Linked DNA regions of Nothobranchius furzeri. The protein of the gene in region 1 purifies or fractionates together with the protein of each later gene. This does not show direct contact. Links are inferred from orthologs where the notes say so. Each region holds a gene or a part of one and is shown in the gene's direction. Other genes may lie near its edges.

Region 1 (3,353 bases):
TCATTAACACACGCCCCTTCTTCACTCTTACAAATAAAAATTTTAGCAATGAAGTTGGTCGATTGTTTTGTAAAATATTTCAGTCTTTTTTTTTTATAAAAAGCCTGTTTTCTGTCTTATTGTGTTGTGTGAAAATGCTCCCCTGCAGTTGCAAACGTATCACAGCCACAATATGTATTTGTTAATTATATGCATGAAGATGCATAAGTGTTATGACTTTATTTTTTTAAGTCTTCCACATAAAATTCTTATATCAAGAATGAATTTAATTAGTTGAGCACTGTAAATTCTCATCTCTATTTTAATAACTGCACAAGCAGCCATAGTTAAAGTTAGAATTATAGCTTTAATCCATCTAATAAAGACTATTGCACACCTGACGATATATCCTAATTTGTTTTATTATTATTCTTTTAAGTCTGAAATACCTAAACGTGTCAGCCAATGCCCTGGAAAGTGTTCCTCTTAGCAGCCAATCAGAGGAGAGCCTCAGCACACTCCAGGAGCTCTACCTGACGGGGAACAACCTGAACGAGGACTGTGGAGCGCTGCTGGTAGGACACCAGAACCTGCGGATCCTTCACATAGCCTACAACCAGCTGCTCTCCTTTCCAGCCAGGTCTGACCCCAAACCTTCACTGTCTTTGAAGCATTTATAACATTGACAACTTTTGAATGAATCTGATATAATGAATAGTGATTTGCTGTTATCTGAGATTATTTTTCCATGTGCCATTTATCCAGTAAGCTGAGTAAGCTGGAACTGCTAGAGGAGCTAAATTTAAGTGGCAACAAGCTAAAGACAATCCCCTCGACTGTGTCCAGTTGCAAGAGGCTGCACACGCTCATAGCACACTCCAATCACATAAACACCTTCCCCGACATCCTCAACCTGCCCGAAATCAAGGTCAGACCCGGTCCATCTGACCACACACGATTGACCTCAGCATGTTTCAGCTCACGTTTGCTCTCACGTTTGCTTTTTTCTGCGTGCAGCTAGTAGATCTGAGCTGTAATGAGCTGACAGAGATCCAGCTTCCCGAGTCTCTGCCTGCTACGCTGCAAGAGCTGGATCTGACAGGAAACGGCAGCCTCACGCTGGAAAACAAAACCCTTAACTTCTTTAGGTGAGTTCCGTGAGCCGTTCACTTAAGAATCAAATTGAATCTCTTCGAATTGGGTAGATGTCTGAAAGCAGCATCTAATGTGCAATACACTCTAAGAAATGAACTCTTGAGATTACTTAAAGGTCAACTTTACTCATATTTTAAAACATTTGTATTCTCTAATTAATGAAAGCCTTGTAAGTCATAGTCTGGGGAAATAAAGCTCTGGTGCGCCTGTTTGAGAATTTAGAATTGAGCTGGATGAGAAAGTGGCAGGATGACAGGATTTAGAGTCTTATTTACTGATATTTGGACATCTCACTTCAGATAGGCTCACAGCAGTGCAACTCTACCACTGACTCCGCTTGTTTTGCAATGTTGATGTTTTATCTCCACAAATAACACAAGCCTGAAGGAATGCTGCTGTGTGGTGGAGTTGCTAATGCTAACCGTTAGCTTCTGCTAGTCGAAACGTTCTCTGCTGATTCCTGGACGCTAACAGACCCGAGCCTTCCCCCGTAACGAGTCAAGATGGGTGAGTTCATGAATGTTAAGCAGTGTGGCGTAGATCTGTCAGAATTTTCAAATCCTGAAGTTTCACTGTCTATTTTCTATCAGAAGCTAATGCAGGAGATAGGTGTAGGACACTATTTTTATGTTCGGGCTGCATAAAAAACTGATTATAATCAGAAATAATAACTAAAAAAAGGGTTTTCAGGGAATTTGACCTTTAACCAAGTTATGTCAACTGGTTCCACTAACCTAGTAACACTACATAGTTTTTCAAACTTTAGGCTGGAGCTTTAACATTGATCTAAGTGATTGTTGAGTTAGAAACTTGACCAATTTCATATCTGACACTATTCTGCAGTTGGACAGATACTGCACTTAACAGTTTTGTGGAGCTGATAGGTGCTTTTTACCTGCTTTACAGTTGTTAGTTGTTTTGCTAGCAGTTAGCTTTTTCAGTTTGCCAATAGTCATTAAAGAGCCCAAGAAGAAGAAAAAGAAGAAGTTTGTCTTTTCTGTTGTCATCAAGGTGGATCCTGGAAGTAAAACTAAGAGAATAATGTATTTGGAGGTGAAGTAAAAAGCTAAAACTAGAGTGAGCATCGGTGCGACCTACACTAGTTTGAGGGAGCTGAAGGAGGCTACAAAATCACGGACTGATGGTGACCTGGCTTTGTTGCTACTGGACTTGTAAGTAATAATACTTTTTGTCCAGTGGATATGTTTTACTTTGTGGTCTATGTTAGTATTAGTTGGCTCATATTAGTGTTAGCTTGTTGTTAGCGCTAGCTACAGCAGGCTGCTGCATGGTTGTTTACGACAGTTGTAATTCCACTTTCAGCCAGGAGGGGGGAGGAGCAGGAAACAGCTCAGTGTAAAGAGTAATATATATTTACCTGTAACATAACATTGTATAACAATGTATATTACTTTTTACATTTAAGCAGCTAGGTTTAGTGGAACCAGTTGGCTAAGCAAAATCAACATTTCATTTCTTAGAGTGTAGAAAATAAATGGGAAATACATAGTTACAAAAATAATAATGAGAAGTTACTTGGAGTGTCGATCTAGAAAACGTCTGCTTTGTCAGTATTGTATTTTTCCTTTTTCAGTAATATTACTACACTGAAACTGGACCAGAAATCCACAACGACGTCGGGTGACTCGCTGAGTTCCTCAACGCTGTGGCGCCACGGTTACTCTGAAATGAGAGGCCAAAGAAATAAGTGTGTACTGTGTTTTGGCTTTCAGTGATTGAATTGCATGGAGAAACGCAGCTTAAAAATGACTCAAACTGGAAGAGAAATAAGACATTTATTTTACTGCATTACTACACAAACAACTTTTAAGGTGGTATCTGAATTTAAAGCCTTCCTGTGGGGTTCTAGCAACCACAGGGACCCAAACAGCTTGTCAGTTTTCAGCCTGTCTTGTTAAATCTGTGGCGTGTAAGAGGTTTGCAGACGTTCATGTTTTATTATTGTCTGGTACAGGTTGTGTGTGTCTGTGCTGGCTGTAGACCACTTTAGAGACAGCGTGGAAGCTTGCTATGGTATCTTTGACGGCGATCGCAACGAGCAAGTGCCTCGGCTGCTGCAGTGCACCATGGGAGATGTGCTGTGTGAGGATTTGCAGCATTCCAGCGTAGACACTGTATACATGTGTAACACTTTTCTCACCTCACACAGGTAAGGCCATTTTTAATAGTATTTAATTATTTTATTTAAAGCAGCAATC
Region 2 (4,121 bases), on another chromosome or scaffold:
GTGATCAGATGTAACAGCAGTTTAACGGGGAGATCTGTTTTATTTCACAGTGCATTAAATGGTTTATCATATTTACAATGTATGGGAAAATGTATGTTTTATCTAAATGTTAAATTAGTTTTGGTTCTGCAAGGGACCAATTGATTTGGATAGGGAAATATGAATTTCCGCTTATATTTTTTTCAAAATAACAGTCACAAAAAGAAGATTTCAGTAGTAAAATAAATAAATAAATATGAAGAGAGAGAGAGAGAGAGAGAGAGAGAGAGAGAGAGAGAGAGAGAGAGAGACCCCAAAGATTAATGTATAATAAATCACTACCATTTGATGAAATATGCTAAATTAAACAACTAAAAATCTGGTATTTGTACTTATCATAATTAAGTCACACGCAAAAAACAAATGACACAAATGAACCCATGGTAAATGTGCCAGTTCAATTGTTTTCAAACGTCTTCGTTTACACTTTGATATGAAATTACATTTTCAGAAATACGATATTTTAACGTGTTAAACGTTTTAAACTATTAAGGTCCGGAAGAACATTGGCCTGGCCAAGAGATGATGATAATGTCTGTGTACTGTACTTTTTTGTTATCATGAAAATTTTGCCTGGCCTAAGCTGTTCGCAGCCAGATCCTGCCTGCCCCTTTCTAAAACTACAATATGGCGTCTTTGACAAGCAGGCTTTTTTGGAGGTGGCTTAATTTATGCCTGCTGTATAAAATGCCAATATATCTTTTCATGTCTTTTTAAACAAGTCTGTTCAAATTAAATGTTTTTATAATAGTCTATCATGTATTTTTAAGCCGTATTTTTGCTAAATTTTGACAGATATTTTCTAAATGAAGGAAGGGCTTCACCGGCAGAGTAACGGCTAGTGGGTTCTTTAGCAGGAAAAAGCGCCAACTTCTCCACCGCCGTCCGATTAGTCAAAACGGTTCAAAAGACGGGACATTTGGGATAATTTATCACATGTAAAATCGGAATGAATCTTTTAGGTGAGAATTAAAACGGTCAGCTCGCTATTTTAATTAAGACTGCTCGTTTGCTTGTAGAGGCAGCGTGCTGCCTGTTTACTCCTCCCACTTCTTCACAACACCTCAATGCCGACCTAGTTTCGTTACTGTGTGTTGTGAAAATAGCTGAAAACCTATTTTAACTGCGTGCTAGTTTCATGTTAGCATTTCCCAAATAGTACAATACAACGGCTCCACACTAGTTGAGGAGGTGTGGTGTCGCCATGCTTAAATCGTTAAGTCAGCTGAAGCCAGCTGGTGTGTTTATAAAATTCTTTGTTTAGTCGGTAATTGGGTGTAGTTTGTTGAACTAGAACAAACAACACTGCTATTCTCAAGCCAATTTGCTTATAACTAGAACCCAAACTTGAGTGCGTAGGTTACGTTCGTTCGTGTGGAACTCTGATGGCGCCCATCGAAATTGGATGTTGCCGTTTTTATTTTGGCCAGTAGGGTGCTGTTGCGTCTTGGTTGAAAAATTAAAGGTACCTTAGAAAACATGTCAAATCTGCAAGGTGAGAGTGCTGGGCCGGCACATGGGAGTCCGGTGAAAAAGAGTAGACTGTCTCTGAAGTTTTTCCAGAAGAAAGAAGCCAAGCGAGCTCTGGATTTCTCTGAACCTCCTGCAGAGGAACCCAAAACAACCGAACCAGAGGGAAGGTAGGAAGTTCCTGATGATTGGTTGATAACTGATCACTAAAACTTCAAATTGAGCACTAACACTACCCGTAACACTTGTATCTATGTTTTATTTTCAACACGTGATTCTTGTGAAGCCCTCGTGAGTTTTTCTTTTTCCTGTTTTCGCCCTTCAGCACCTGTGAACAGGTGGTCTATGGTCCCTCTCCTTATCAAGCATCACCTGGTCTTCCAGCCTCATGTGAGAAGAAAGATAACTTGATTCCTTTCGTGGGTCTCAATAACCTGGGCAACACCTGCTATTTAAATAGTATTTTACAGGTTAGTATTTAAATGAAACTGCAAACTAATAACTAATACCAATTTTGTTAAACTTGTGAAATGTGACAATTCAAAAATGATCTTAAATTGGGAAAAATCATATTTTCTTCATTTGACGTGTTGGCTTGTATTCATAGACTTTATTTTACATGTATGGTGCAATTGCAATTTACTTTTGCAAACTTCTTTGCTGTGATAAAGTCAGTTAAGATCTAATAACTAAAACAGGGATGAGACTTAATTCAACAACAACTTTGAATGAACTTTGCAACTTGTAGAAAATAAAGAATGCAAGGCACTGAACTTAAAGAGCAAGTCACCCCCCCTACAAGAAACTTACTGTACTCCAGGGCTATTCAGTTCTGGGCCTGGAGAGCTGGTTTCCAGCACATTTTAGTTTTAGCTCTGCTTCAACACACCTGATTTCAATCAGCAGGTGATTAACGAGCTTTTGCAGAGCTTGATGAGCTGCTGCACAGGTGATTCAACCACAGAATCTGGTGTTTCGGAGCAGAAAAACCACTAAAACGTGCTGCATACCAGCCCTCCAGGACCAGGATTGAATAGCCCTGCTCTGCTCCCACTTCATGTTTGAAAACTGCAACAAATGCTGTTGCCTGGCAGACCAAGAGGGTGGAGCCGCTAACAATTACACACAGGCCGTTTCTCAGTGTGCATACTTGTCCGAGCTTGTGTACTCGTGTCCTTATGAAACGTCATCAACGAGGACTTTTCCAATCCTATGTATGCATAACGGCTCAAAGTTCCCGGATGTGTTCTTGCTCCACCCATTGTATCGAGGATGCATCAATGCATCCTTCTGCGGACATGGGACAGCAGTTTCCCATAATGCATTGCGTTGCAAACCGTTAAACTCCGAATGTCAGAGGAAAAAGCGAATAACTAATGTTTTACATTGGAGATATAAATAAAGTAACAAAGTTGTCTGTTATTGTAAATATTCGCGTGTAAACTGTAAATTTTGCTGTGTGTATTACTCTTCCCGATCCTTCAAAATGCTAATTAGCTAACCCACTATCAAAATAAAAGCACTGTAGCTCTGTTCTGATGATCTTCTTCCGGCTCTTGGAGAGTACAGACGCCTTTTTCCTCCTCTCCTCCCTATCTTATCCCCAAGGCTCTTTGTTTGTCTTTGGGTGTGCGGAGCTTCTACATTTTTTCTGGAAACTGGCTTGTCTGAATCTGGTGCCCTTGAGCCTGTGAGGCTGAAACAAATACCCTCCCTCAGAAGAAATGTGGAATGCTGCCGTTGCCATGGCAACTCTGTCTCCCTATCCCGGCCTGGGTGGGACTGCGAGCTGTGAAGGCCGCTGAATCGTTCCAGAAGTCACTGTGCTCTGTAAACCCAACAACCCCCCACCCCTATCCAGACTGAGGTGGAGAGCGCTGCTTATCGCGGCTGCTGCTGATGTGTGGAGAGTCCCGAAACCCTACCACCCCACCTAGTGGACACTTATGTTGTGTAATGTCTGAAGTCTGTTGCATTTCTGTCTGAGGTGTGTTTTGCGTAGCAATGCTGTCCTCCCTGTGGAGGGTAACTCTGAAGTGCCTTTTTTCCCTCCACCTGACTCAATCCTCATGTAAACCCTCTGATCTCTATTAAGGTAGCGCGACTCGGGTTGCGAATGACCACAGTCACCAATTCTTGCCGTGTCTGATCTCAGAATTGTGTGTACTGAAACTAATTTCCCTCTGGGATTAATAAAGTATCTTTGAATTGAATTGAATAATAAACTTTTTATTCATTAAAAAGTGGGAAATGCTAGTATTTTAATAGTTTCGATCAAAAGTGGGCCCAATATAATACAAATAATACTTTTTTTTTTATTATTTAAGTAACGAACTAGACTTTTGTTTTAATGTCAGATCATTTTTTTATCTGTAGCAAGAAGCAGCGCTTGTTGCCAGGACACAACGGAGTACGGTTCTGTTCCAAATGCCGTCCTCGTCCTCCCGTACTCGGTAGAACAGACTTTCTGGTGTCCTTGCCAAGAACATACTTGTCTAGTACACATGAACATACTAGCATCCTTGAGTACTGAGAAATGGCCACAGGCTCAAAATGATGTTGTGATGTCAGAATGTACCAGCTAATGTCCAGAACGCAGCAACACACGTCAC

The links. The genes of interacting proteins can lie anywhere in the genome.
Region 2: the proteins of phlpp2 (region 1) and usp1 purify together in Homo sapiens (affinity purification with mass spectrometry; 3 studies listed by BioGRID and IntAct, with this or other methods). This does not show direct contact. The link is inferred for Nothobranchius furzeri from reciprocal best matches to the Homo sapiens genes PHLPP2 and USP1.

Annotation. Positions count from the first base shown.
Region 1 is NC_091749.1:59,321,424-59,324,776, reverse strand, and holds part of phlpp2 (PH domain leucine-rich repeat-containing protein phosphatase 2), read left to right. Parts: intron 1-418; coding exon 419-619; intron 620-744; coding exon 745-907; intron 908-996; coding exon 997-1,127; intron 1,128-2,728; coding exon 2,729-2,842; intron 2,843-3,109; coding exon 3,110-3,304; intron 3,305-3,353. UniProt on the Homo sapiens protein: Protein phosphatase involved in regulation of Akt and PKC signaling.
Region 2 is NC_091748.1:69,501,344-69,505,464, reverse strand, and holds the start of usp1 (ubiquitin carboxyl-terminal hydrolase 1), read left to right. Parts: upstream 1-1,294; 5' UTR 1,295-1,518; coding exon 1,519-1,679; intron 1,680-1,834; coding exon 1,835-1,979; intron 1,980-4,121. UniProt on the Homo sapiens protein: Negative regulator of DNA damage repair which specifically deubiquitinates monoubiquitinated FANCD2. Also involved in PCNA-mediated translesion synthesis (TLS) by deubiquitinating monoubiquitinated PCNA.